Lepisosteus oculatus: one gene and its partners. The protein of the gene in region 1 interacts with the protein of each later gene in a pairwise test. Links are inferred from orthologs where the notes say so. Each region holds a gene or a part of one and is shown in the gene's direction. Other genes may lie near its edges.

Region 1 (3,758 bases):
TCTCACACCTCCCTTTCCCAGTAACATAATACATTTAATGGGTAAATTAGTTCATCTCAGTCCAGTAGGAATGGTTTTAATAGGGAACTGCATCAGTGTCCAAGCTGCAAAGGAACACGTAAAGGCTGCATCCAACTCTGGTCTCAAATTATCGAGACCTTGTATTTAAAAGCCTTCACACCTGAAGAAGGCTCCACAGCTGAAATGCTGCTTTTTCTACCTTCAGGTTGGAATTGCTTATAAAAGGTAAGGAAGAAATGCACAGCCTTGATGTATATTGCATACTGGAGCATATTCTATTACACATAATATACTATTACATATACTAATATGTCATTCAATACCGTAACTTTTATCCTGGTGGTAGATTTGTCACTGCCAAACCTGATGTGGCTCTTCATGGTTTCAGATATGTTTGAGATACGATGTAAGGAGTGTTGCATTATTGGCATCATACTGTGTGGTGGTATTTTGTTACGCAGCCTGTGTTTTCCGTGGAAGTACCCATAAAGTACAAAATAAATAATAATAAAAAGAATACCCATGGAGGAAACAGGCCAGTGATTCTCAGCTCTGGTCCTGAAGGACCGCTGTGTCCTTTGGCTTTTGACCCAGCGAAATATTTCTTCGTCGCAGTCAAAAGGCTCTCACTGTCCCGTTTGAAGTGTGTCTGGCAAATTTTCATTCAGCCCTTATAAAAAGTCACATGGCATTTGAAAGTGGTATCAACCCTGAGCCGTTTTCAGTTTCAGGATGCCTCTCGTTCCGCTGTGTGAGCTGAAACATAACCAGCAGGACTTAAGTGGAAGGAAGAAGCAAACGGTCGTGATGGGCCCGTTTACACAGTGACATTCCGCGTCCGTTCAGCATCCGATGATTGACTTTGAAGAGGTTTCGGATCAGAAAGAAGGGAGCAAATTCTTAATGACTGATTTGTTGTTTGTTTTAATCCAGGCAGAGTGCAGAAAAAAAGTCAAGACAAGCAAGCAGATCAATGACAAGATTACAGTAAGAATGATAAAAAACAGTAGATACAGGGGTCCCCAAACGTATGCACAAAAGGTTTACAAATTATGGTCGTCACATCTATGGTGGTACATAAAAAAAAAATTGGTAAATATTCTCTTACCTAAAGAGGGTTCCACAGGTATAATTGTTTTTTTTTGTCATTTCAGCACGGAGCTAATCTTTCTCTTTATTGGAATGTTTGTTGAGTAAGTAATATATAAACGTTGACACATTACCCCTCTATGCAGTTTATTGTACTCAAAGGTTAAGTTTCCATAACCACTGAGAGTACAAGCCTCTATAGTTCTTACTGCCAAGAAAATTACCAAAAGATATTGATACTTACAGTGTATAAAATATTGTCTTGCTGCCATTTTTTAGTTTAATGCTCACAATTAATGTTCGTGTCCATGGTTGAGTAAGTTGCCTCTTTAACAATAAATTGTATTGTTGAAGCTCTTTTCTGATTCGTAATTCCACTTTAGATGTTATAATCAGCCCCCGAGAAAAGCCTTTTGTAGCTCTGGAAGCTTACACTGTTGTCCCAGGTTTCAAGCAGACCACCATAAATATACTTACAGTATTTGAGTTTATTCGACATTTTAGAAAGCACTTTTCATGTAGGAGGTGACCCAGTCCATTCAGCAAAGAAGAGGTCCTTTGGCCCATTTAGCCCCTCTGCGAGCAGTGAAGGTGGTATCCTGGCGATGTGTGGTAGCCATAGGATAGCAGATCACCCACTGCACAGCGGGTGAGCTAAAGAAATGAGAAACAGCCTTGTATCATTGAATTGAGAATGCACTTTAGATGGGAAGAAAAGATTGTAATCAGATATCAATATCACCACTGTCAACACAAGGTCATCCATTTTAATCCAATTGTATGGTTCTGTTTCAATGAGTGGGCACACATTTGTCCTCTCTGCTGTATAAGCAGTTTATATCTGAGAACTGGAATATTTGTGCACTAGTCCAACTAATTCATATTGGATACCTACTGTATACAGTACCTGTGCATGGTACATGTCTGGTCCATACAAGATCCTGTCTGTTGCTTCTACAGCTACTGTAATTTTATGAATCAGTGCATGTATTTGATATTTTCTATTGGTGTTATCTAACTTGAAACCATTCAGGGTTGTTATGAAGTGAGGGGTTGTTTTCATTAAGCTGCAGTGTTGTTTGGAGTAAAAGTGAGCCTTGGAGGCATGTGGTTTTTAACATACCCCTGGGCCTTGTGAAAGGCTTCAATTGCAAACCAAACATGAAAACCTAGAAGAAAATTGTTCCATTCATTTTCCTCTGAGTGTTTCTTAACAACTGTTGTTGTGAGTGATGGAGAAAACAGAACATTATGGTCTGTGCAACTTATCAACGCAAGGTAAAAAGATGCATTAATTAATGAAGTGTTTCTTGCTTTTCTGATTACAGTGCCTTGCACAATTATTCACCCACCGCAAAGCTTCTACATTTTGTTTCTGTCTGAGCTTGCAATAACAGTACAACAAATCTACAGAGTCTACTTCAAACTGGTAAAGGTAAAAATGCTGATGGCGAGCAAATAAATGAGATCTTTATAGAAAATGAGAAGATTCTCAGTTGCATAAGTATTCAACCCTCTTTATTACGGAAGACCTAAATCAGTTGAGGTGCAAAATAACAGTCTGAAAGATCACAGCATTCATGCAACGTTCCCTGTCTGTGTGTAATCAAAGTGGTGTGAATTGACCAGTTCAGAGTAACTGCATCTGTCTCTGTAAGTTCAGTCAGATACTGCATTTCAAGCCATTTCAAGCTCATATTGTGACACACCAAATTGACCATGAAAACCAAGGAGTTGTTGAAACAAATTATGCATAAACTGATAAAGGCATAGAGTAGAAGAAAGCTAGTTTAATTCAGTGAAGTTCATTATTGACAACTGGACTGGAATTTGCAGCATATTACCAAGACACAAACTCAGCAGCTGAGCAAGCAGGTAAGTGGTTAGTAAAGTAACTGTGAAGCCAACAGTGATTTTGAAATATTTGCAGTTTCTTTTGTCTAGAATGGGAGTTGTTGTTCATACACTATCACTGTTCCCAGCATGAGGTAGTCTCTATGGGTGAAAGCAATGACAGAAGACATTCCTGCAAACAATTCATCTCAAATCTTCTAGAAAATACAATGCAGACATGGAGGGTAACAGAAGGGTTTATGATCAAATTAGACAAAAACTGATGTTTTTGTAGTCTAAATGCAAAGAGTTACATCTGATGCAGGCCCAATACAACACATTACCCAGTCAACTCCACCCCAGCTCTCAAGTATGCTGGTAACAGCATCAAGTTACGGGGCTGCTTCTCTTCAGTGGAGACGCATGTCAAGACTAAGGGGAAAATAGATGGAGCAAAGTCTTGAGAAATACAGTACTTGTTTTAGTTGCCCAAGAATCTAAAATCGGTTCTAAAATCACATTTCAGTACAGGGCCAAAGCACAATGAAGTGGTCCGACAACAATGGAATGAATGTTTAAGTTAGTTAAGATCACTTTATTGGCCATATAGAATTTCTTACATTAGGAATTCGTCTTTTTGCATACCCCAGCTTGCTCTCCATGAGACACACAGACGAGGAGAGAAGCTTGGGGTCAGAGCGCAGGGTCAGCCATTTATACGGCGCCCCTGGAGCAGTTGGGGTTAAGGGCCTTGCTCAGGGGCCCAACGGAGTAGGATTCCTCTGCCGGCCACGGGATACGAACCGGCAACCTTC
Region 2 (3,758 bases), on another chromosome or scaffold:
AGACTCCCATCAGCCGATGGAAATCTGGTGAATTCTACCCGTCGGGCAGTTACTAAGCGACAGTGACATATGTGACCTCGTACTGTATTTAAGATTTCTAGAGCCCGGAAGAAACAGCTTTCCACGCCTGGACATAACGCGCAACGCGAGAGAGGGGACTAATTTACCTTGAAAAACCTTCGAGAACCCTCTTGCGCAACAACATCAACCCCACCACCTCCACCTCCCACCCGGACCGCTCTCTCTAACCCGATTTGCTTAAAGACACCTAGGAGTTTAAAACGGACATTAAAATTCAAAATATGTACAACACTTGCGCTAAGAATAGAAGAAATTTAAACATTTTAGAAGAGGGCCATAAAGACACTAGCCATACACCCTGCCCATTTGTAATATTATTTTATTAAAATGTCATTAATACTGTAAATGTAATACTCACACTTAGAATTAAGCATATACAAAGAATATATGTCACTGTCATCTCAAATGTACCTACTGTAACTGCGAACGGAACAAGTATACTCACACTTTATAATTCAGGCACTTTTCCCAAGGAATCCAAAACGCGGAGCGTTACACCACACGTTTCCTATTAGAATATACACTTCAAGAAAACTGTACGTGCGCTATAAACCTTTGGTTTAATCGACTTACAAATTAAAGTTGGACTCTCCCCCCTCCTCCACCCTGGCAACGAAGTTCCAGAACCTTCTCCTTCCCTCCTTCCGCCGACACCCGGATTTTGTAACACAATGGTTCGTGACGTAACCGGCCGCACCGCCCACAACACGTAGGGGTCTGTGCTGATATGCTTGTGCCGGGCTCTGATTCTGCAGCAGTTTTTCATTTTAGTGTGTGCAGACATATCGTATAGCAATATCCAAGCCACTTTTGCTAGGTTATTTCGCTTTTAAATCATTGTGATCATTTTAGACCCTAAAACTACCCACCAATACTCACAACGCATCCTCCAACTGGGTGGCCCAGGCTCGATTTTTATGTCTGGTTTGTTCGTCATTAAATAAAATCGCAAACTTTTACTTTACTGACTGTAATTTTAGGTTGACCACGACTGCACTCCGCGTTCAAAGGGACATTTCGAATCAGGACGGGATTGTAAAAATGGATTGAAAACTAATGACGTGGACCTCAAAATTGTGCACTAAACGCTTTGGTGAGATGAATAATACCGTCGTTTACTAATCGTGTGCATTAAATTCACAACGCCTACCAGCAGCTACTAATTTGTTCTGGATAGTAACTAAGTTGACTCTTAAATACAATATTGCATGACTAAAGCTAAAGCTTTATCGTATTACTACAAATTATACAAGCAGTAAAAATAACATAAAATTTACAATAATATACTTCTGAAACATTTCTTCAGTTATTGTCCTTTGGTCAATTAAGGTAAAGTTTAAGTCTAGAAACCCATCCCAACCAGATGCGTACTATAGGAATGGAACTGTAATTAAGTAATGAGAAATAACTCTTAAGAGGGCTTTAACTTGTATTATCAGTACTATCGCTTCGACTACTGTAGTAGTGGATTTTAATTTCTGCACAAGCGTTGTCAGGTTGTTTTTAGTGTAGTTTGTCCTTCTTCGCGTGTTGTACATTGACGTCATCCGCGTTTGCTGACGTTGATTTGCAGTTCCAGTTTTCTCAGAGGAAAAAGTGCTACTCGTACATTAAAGGTATTTATTTTTTACTAAATCACTGTTATAGACAGTCTGTGAATGAATGTTTTATAAAATAGGAGAACATTATTCCGATTTTGCTTTTGAAGTGTTTAAAAATCCTCAGAAAATGATGATTTGGTAATGCCGTTCATGGTACCTGCTGAGGTTTAACTTGGTATCTTATGCTGTATAATGTATGCTGCTTCAAATATGTAAATAGTAGGGTAAAAATGACTAGGATGCTGTAGTGGTGGTTTCCAGTTACTTTGATGGATTTGGAAAGATACAATGGAGACCGATATTATTTATTCAATTTCAAACTACCACCGAAAATATTCGCCATTAATATTTAGTACAGAAACTTTTAGAAGAGTATCCAGCTCTCGCCTTAGTTTTACTGAAATGTTTTGTATACCATTTAAAATGGAATCAATCCGGTTTTGCTAGTTATTAACCTGTGTTTTAGATGCGATGCCAGTGTCAGATCAGCCGAAATACCCCATGTACAGTAAATTCTTAAATGCTGAGCTGCATTTTATGCAATAATGGGATCAACTAGAAAAAAGAACCCTAAAACATATGCAAGTTTGTAAAGAATGTCTGATATTCTTGAAGAATAATGACAGCATGTCTGATTGATGAGCACTGACAAAATATAAGTCCTTTGAAAATACTTATATGTAATGCTTATGTCATGTCATTTGCCAAACCGCTTTATAACACACGGTGTCGCGGGAAGCCGGAGCCTAACCAGCAGGCAACGAGCACAAGTCAGGGCACACCCTGCCCGGTGCGCCAGTCCATCGCAGGGCAGGTGCAAACCAATCACACATGGGGACACTTTGGAGGCATATAATAATAACAAACTTTAAAAAATGTAGTGATTAGCTTAACAAGACTTGCTTGCCAGTAGGATTCTATGGGACAATCAGAATTCTTTCAACACGTATAAGCAGAGCTGGACACAAACTAGGAATAAGATGTGTGTGTATATATATAGTATGTTTAGATTTAGAAGGAGTTTGAGAGTATTCTGCCAAAGAAGATATAATATATCATTATAAATCATATATCATATAAATATAACATTTAAATAGAAGGTTGTTTTATTAAAATTGTACAATACGCTAGTAAGATCTTATTTAGAATATTGTGAGTTTAACAGGTCCGCTTAGGTCTTCACAGCCCTCAGGTATTAAAAAGAAACCAAAGGTGTAGCAGATTGAAGGAATAGCAAGCAAGGGTCTCAGCAGTGCAGTAGCTGCTAAAATTACTGGGAGTCTTAAGAATAGTATCATAAGTGGTCACTGAGTCTCTTTGTGTACCACAGACCATGAATTGTCAGCATGTCTTACAGTTGTACATTTTTGTCACCCTCTCTAAAGGACAGGGAGATAATGCGGGTTTGCTGGCTTGTGAGGAAAGATGGATGCCACGCACCTATCAGATTGCCACATCTGCAAACGGTGATCCTAGGTCGGGGCCCAGAAACGACGATAGTAGACAAGAAATGCTCGAGAGAACAAGGTAACGTAAGTAACTCAAGCCGGCCTTTCCACTCTTCTTTCCCCGAATTCCACACCCATGATTTCAGTCAGCATGTTAATCAGATCAGTAAACGTAAACTTGCTGGTTTTGTGAATTTCACAGTGTGTTGTGTCAGCAGTTGTAGGGTAGTGTCGAGTCTATAGTCAGATCTGCCAAAGGCGGCAGACATCCAAGCACTGGATATATTGATCTCAAATGAGTGTTAACCCCATTTTTCTAAAAGACTGGCTCATTGAATGCTTTTTACACTGAGAGACATGATGTCAGCAAAGGTGTCCTGCTACAGTAGGGTGTTACGATGCACAGCCTCACACAGGACTGCCAAAATATCTTCCCTGTGCAACTGCTTTCCTCAAATCTAACCCAGAATTTGGCTTCTAACCCAATCCATTGGATGTGGTTGTTGCCATAGCTGTTCGGGAAAGTTGCAAATGAACAAAGAGGATAATCCTCCACTGAAAATGTTTCTTATTTTCGTCTGTCAACCCTCAGATAAGACATCAACAGTAAGCAAGTAAAAAACATTCT
Region 3 (3,758 bases), on another chromosome or scaffold:
GATTTACTACTGGGGCAAATTAAGAAATATGTTTAGCTGTTCACTTCGCGGAAGTCTGCATTCATATCCTTATTTTGCCAAGAACTAAGCTGATATACATATATGTACACGACGAAATCCTATCAGATGCAATAATCACACGACAAGGGGAAGTGCAAGGTTACTGCAGATCACCGTTTATTACCGTCTTTTTGTGAAGGAGGGGAGGGTTAATCAAATTAACACTTACTGCCACGTATGTTTATGAACATAATCTCTGCCGGGTCATGAAACAGGCAGTAATGTTTACATTGTTATTAATATAATAACATATAAATATATAAATGGATATTTTGCAAACATTATAATCGCGGTTTACGTACGGGTACCATAAGTGTGTTTAACTTTGAATTGCTTTTTTAGATTTAAAAATTACCTGGCTCACCATATGCCGTTACCAGTGCTAGAAAATAAACAGATTACGCCTTTAACCGATCAGAAAATGAACGTTTTTAAAAGATAAATGACTGCTTTAACGCTTTAAAGTCACGACTTATTTTAAAATTAAAATCATAACTACATACAACTAATCTCTTTTTAAAATTACTAACTGTAGACCGTTTAAACTCATACCTTCTTATGGTTCACGTCATTATGTGACAGCTGACAGTTTAAATGCCTATCCTTTTCAAATTTTTATTTACGCAATGACGCACCCCTACTGACCAACATGGCAAAAACGCATGCGTGCAAGTCGAGGAAGTGTCTGGGAAATGTAGTTTATTTACAGGACGACCGCTGGGTTTTGGGAAGAGAATACGGTGTCACTAGAGAAATGAAGTTTGTAGAAATGCACGCACAGCAGTTTTTTATTATTCTTGTAATACTCAAATTAAATTTGTATTTAAATATAAATTAACAGTATTAAATATGTCTCTTAATTTGAATACGAACTTTACCTTTATAAAAATAGCTCTGTCCAAAAATTTCAAGGTATTCGTTAAGGCACCATGTGGAGGTGTTACGTTTTTATGGAGGTTTTTACCAATTTTGGTGAAATCTGGAAAATGTTGTCTCAATCCTGGTATATTTCAAAGTGGCCTTAATTTATCGTAGTGTAAACGACCACATTTCCCAGAATTCTATGTGATAGTCGGTGCATGCGACTTGAGCTATGTTGTAAAATTACCGGAAATAAACACGATTTTGAACTGTTATCTGAGTGCCTACCAGGTGGCAAACGAAAAATCAGACCACAGGTATTGATTAAGCTCGTAGAGCAGACCTTTAAAACGAAAGTGTGGCACTATAGCCTGGTATCAGTAGCACGTTTGAGCATGTTTCTCGTAAGGACCTTATTTGTACTTTATTGTACTGAATAACGCATATGTACCTCGATTTCTTGTTAAGCATCTGCAAAACTATACAACTACACAAATACAGGGTTGTCAAAAAACAGTGATACTGTTGTTTGTATCGTTAATCAGCAAAGTTTTAATACCTTTATTGTACTGAAGAAAAATTATATGAACTTGATATATATATGAAGACTATTGAAGACATCCTAGCCATATAAATGTGCAACATTTGATGACCTAATGGATTGAGGCAAATTAGACTTAAATTACATGTTGGGTAATTGCTCAGGTTTCTCTTCTGAATCGAATGCTTATATGTACACACCACAGTAACAAAAATTGACCAGCGAGTGAAGTCTGATTTGATCTTAGGACTCTAACTGAGGTTCCAAAACCCAAGGTTTAGTCACACATTGTAATTGACCATTCGGTTGTTTTAATGTTTATGACTTGCATTTGTGAAGCACACGCAGAATGCGTCAAAATGTATATTGTATAATTCTGATTCTGCAGGATAGGTGGACATGTCGGGATTTGAACTGGAACCATTGGACGGGAACTGTTCAATCCCGCTACCAGTTGGAGAAACCTTAATTGGAAGAGGACCTCTTCTCAGGGTACGTGTTTTTTAAACCTACCTCAATTATTTCCTTAAGCACTGCAGATATTTTACTTGTAAGAGGTACAGTCAAGCTATTTCATTTTGCTTAAAAGCAAGATATTTTAGAACATTTAGACATTTGTGACGTGTAATCAACACAATATTGACCGTCGTGTATAACAGCTGGATGCTACACTTCATCGGTGGATAAAGTTGGTCCCCTCTTATGAGCAAAGCACTTTAAGATCCTATGAGGTATATAACATATACATTTAATCGTGGGTGTCTGTAATAGCAGAAACGTTCTTCTTTACCACAAGTGGGCAGCATAGCCTCAAATGGCATACCAGTCAATATGACAATATTCTTCAGAAAGAAAAGTCACTCCAGTTTCTGACTTTTAAAAACATCTTTACAAAACGAACAATTCAAACATAAACTTAAATCCTCAGCATAGCTGCTTTAAAGTTTACTGTGATCAAAGCAAAGCGTTTTAAAGTGTAGTGAAATCACATCCAGCATGTAGGCTGTGGCAGAATAAAGTACAAGCATAGAAAGGGCAGATTTACCTTGCAAAAAGTCAGAAAATCATATACTTCCCTAACTCTCACATTGATTTAATTTGTGTTTGTTACCTGCAGCAATATATTTTGCACTAGTATATAATTAAAATTCTGTGTATACTATACAAGGGACATGCACATAACCGTTTGTATCTTGCAAATGCAAAACAAAAATTGGTGAAATTTGGCAGCTATAGGTCTGAGAAACACGGGACTAGAATAAGAGAACAGAAATTGAAATTTTACTGTTGGAAGACCACACAGTCTTCCAAAGTCAGTCTAGCTGCTGGCATGAGTAACAGATTTCTTTCACAAAAAGCCTGGTTTTATTTATCACACAAACTAAAGAAAAACGTCCAAGGTAGGGGATGTTAATACCCAATGTTTGATGTGTACAAGCTATGTAGTAAACGATTACATGTGTTATCAGATAATATAAATTAAGGTAATATTGAGTAATGTTCTGTAACACCCATAAGATAGATCTCTTTTCAAATATAGTAATGCAGGAAATGAAATGTGATATAAATGTAGAAGCCTTTTTTATTTTGGCGTTTGAGCCCACTCTGCACTCCTAGATGGCACTGTAATACAAGGCTTTCTGTCAGCAAAAAGCACATCACTAAAGTTGGGAGCTTTTCTTGAATTCTTATTTTCAGATTACTTTGGAGTCTATCAGCTTTTATAAAAAATCAAGTCTATAATGGTATTATGGATGGAGGAGCAGACTGCTGCCTTTGTGAGCTAAAACCGGGCGATGTTAATTTATGAACCCTTGTCACTTAAAAAGAGTTATTACAAAGAATAATTTATTTTGTTGTGAGTCCTGAGCTTTTAGCCTTTCAAGGTGCAAATTATAGGCACTGTTTACTACAAGTTTCATTTTTGCCACACCAGTATAAATCTAGATGTACTGTAAAATGTTTGCATGCTGAGTACTTTTTTTTTTTACTGATTCTATTCCATAAAGTAGACACATGGTTTAACAGGCACGCACACACCTTCTTCTGATCTAGATTGTAAGGAGAAACATAAATTACATTTCCTCCTGTGATTTCCTAACACTAAGAGAATAATCAGTGGGGTAATTGCTTTGTCACTGGTCTGCAAATCATTGGATTTTGCCTTATATCTGTGAGCCCTGGAGATGTCTCCAGAGAAATTAGATTTTGAGATTTCTTGGTCAAGTAAACAGAAAGAAATGAATCTTTAAGGATCTTTCTGTCTTGTGTATTTGCTGTGTATTAAGAATTGTGA

The links.
Region 2: the proteins of xrcc4 (region 1) and aptx interact in binary tests that used the Homo sapiens proteins (3 or more experiments, as listed by UniProt). The link is inferred for Lepisosteus oculatus from reciprocal best matches to the Homo sapiens genes XRCC4 and APTX.
Region 3: the proteins of xrcc4 (region 1) and aplf interact in binary tests that used the Homo sapiens proteins (3 or more experiments, as listed by UniProt). The link is inferred for Lepisosteus oculatus from reciprocal best matches to the Homo sapiens genes XRCC4 and APLF.

Annotation. Positions count from the first base shown.
Region 1 is NC_090698.1:70,696,094-70,699,851, forward strand, and holds the start of xrcc4 (DNA repair protein XRCC4), read left to right. Parts: upstream 1-979; 5' UTR 980-994; coding exon 995-1,008; intron 1,009-1,175; coding exon 1,176-1,214; intron 1,215-3,758.
Region 2 is NC_090696.1:33,581,081-33,584,838, reverse strand, and holds the start of aptx (aprataxin), read left to right. Parts: upstream 1-802; 5' UTR 803-1,174; intron 1,175-1,406; exon of another isoform or gene 1,407-1,697; intron 1,698-3,067; 5' UTR 3,068-3,079; coding exon 3,080-3,209; intron 3,210-3,758. UniProt on the Homo sapiens protein: DNA-binding protein involved in single-strand DNA break repair, double-strand DNA break repair and base excision repair.
Region 3 is NC_090712.1:8,482,312-8,486,069, reverse strand, and holds the start of aplf (aprataxin and PNK-like factor), read left to right. Parts: upstream 1-1,167; 5' UTR 1,168-1,238; intron 1,239-1,242; exon of another isoform or gene 1,243-1,325; intron 1,326-1,850; 5' UTR 1,851-1,861; coding exon 1,862-1,954; intron 1,955-3,758. UniProt on the Homo sapiens protein: Histone chaperone involved in single-strand and double-strand DNA break repair.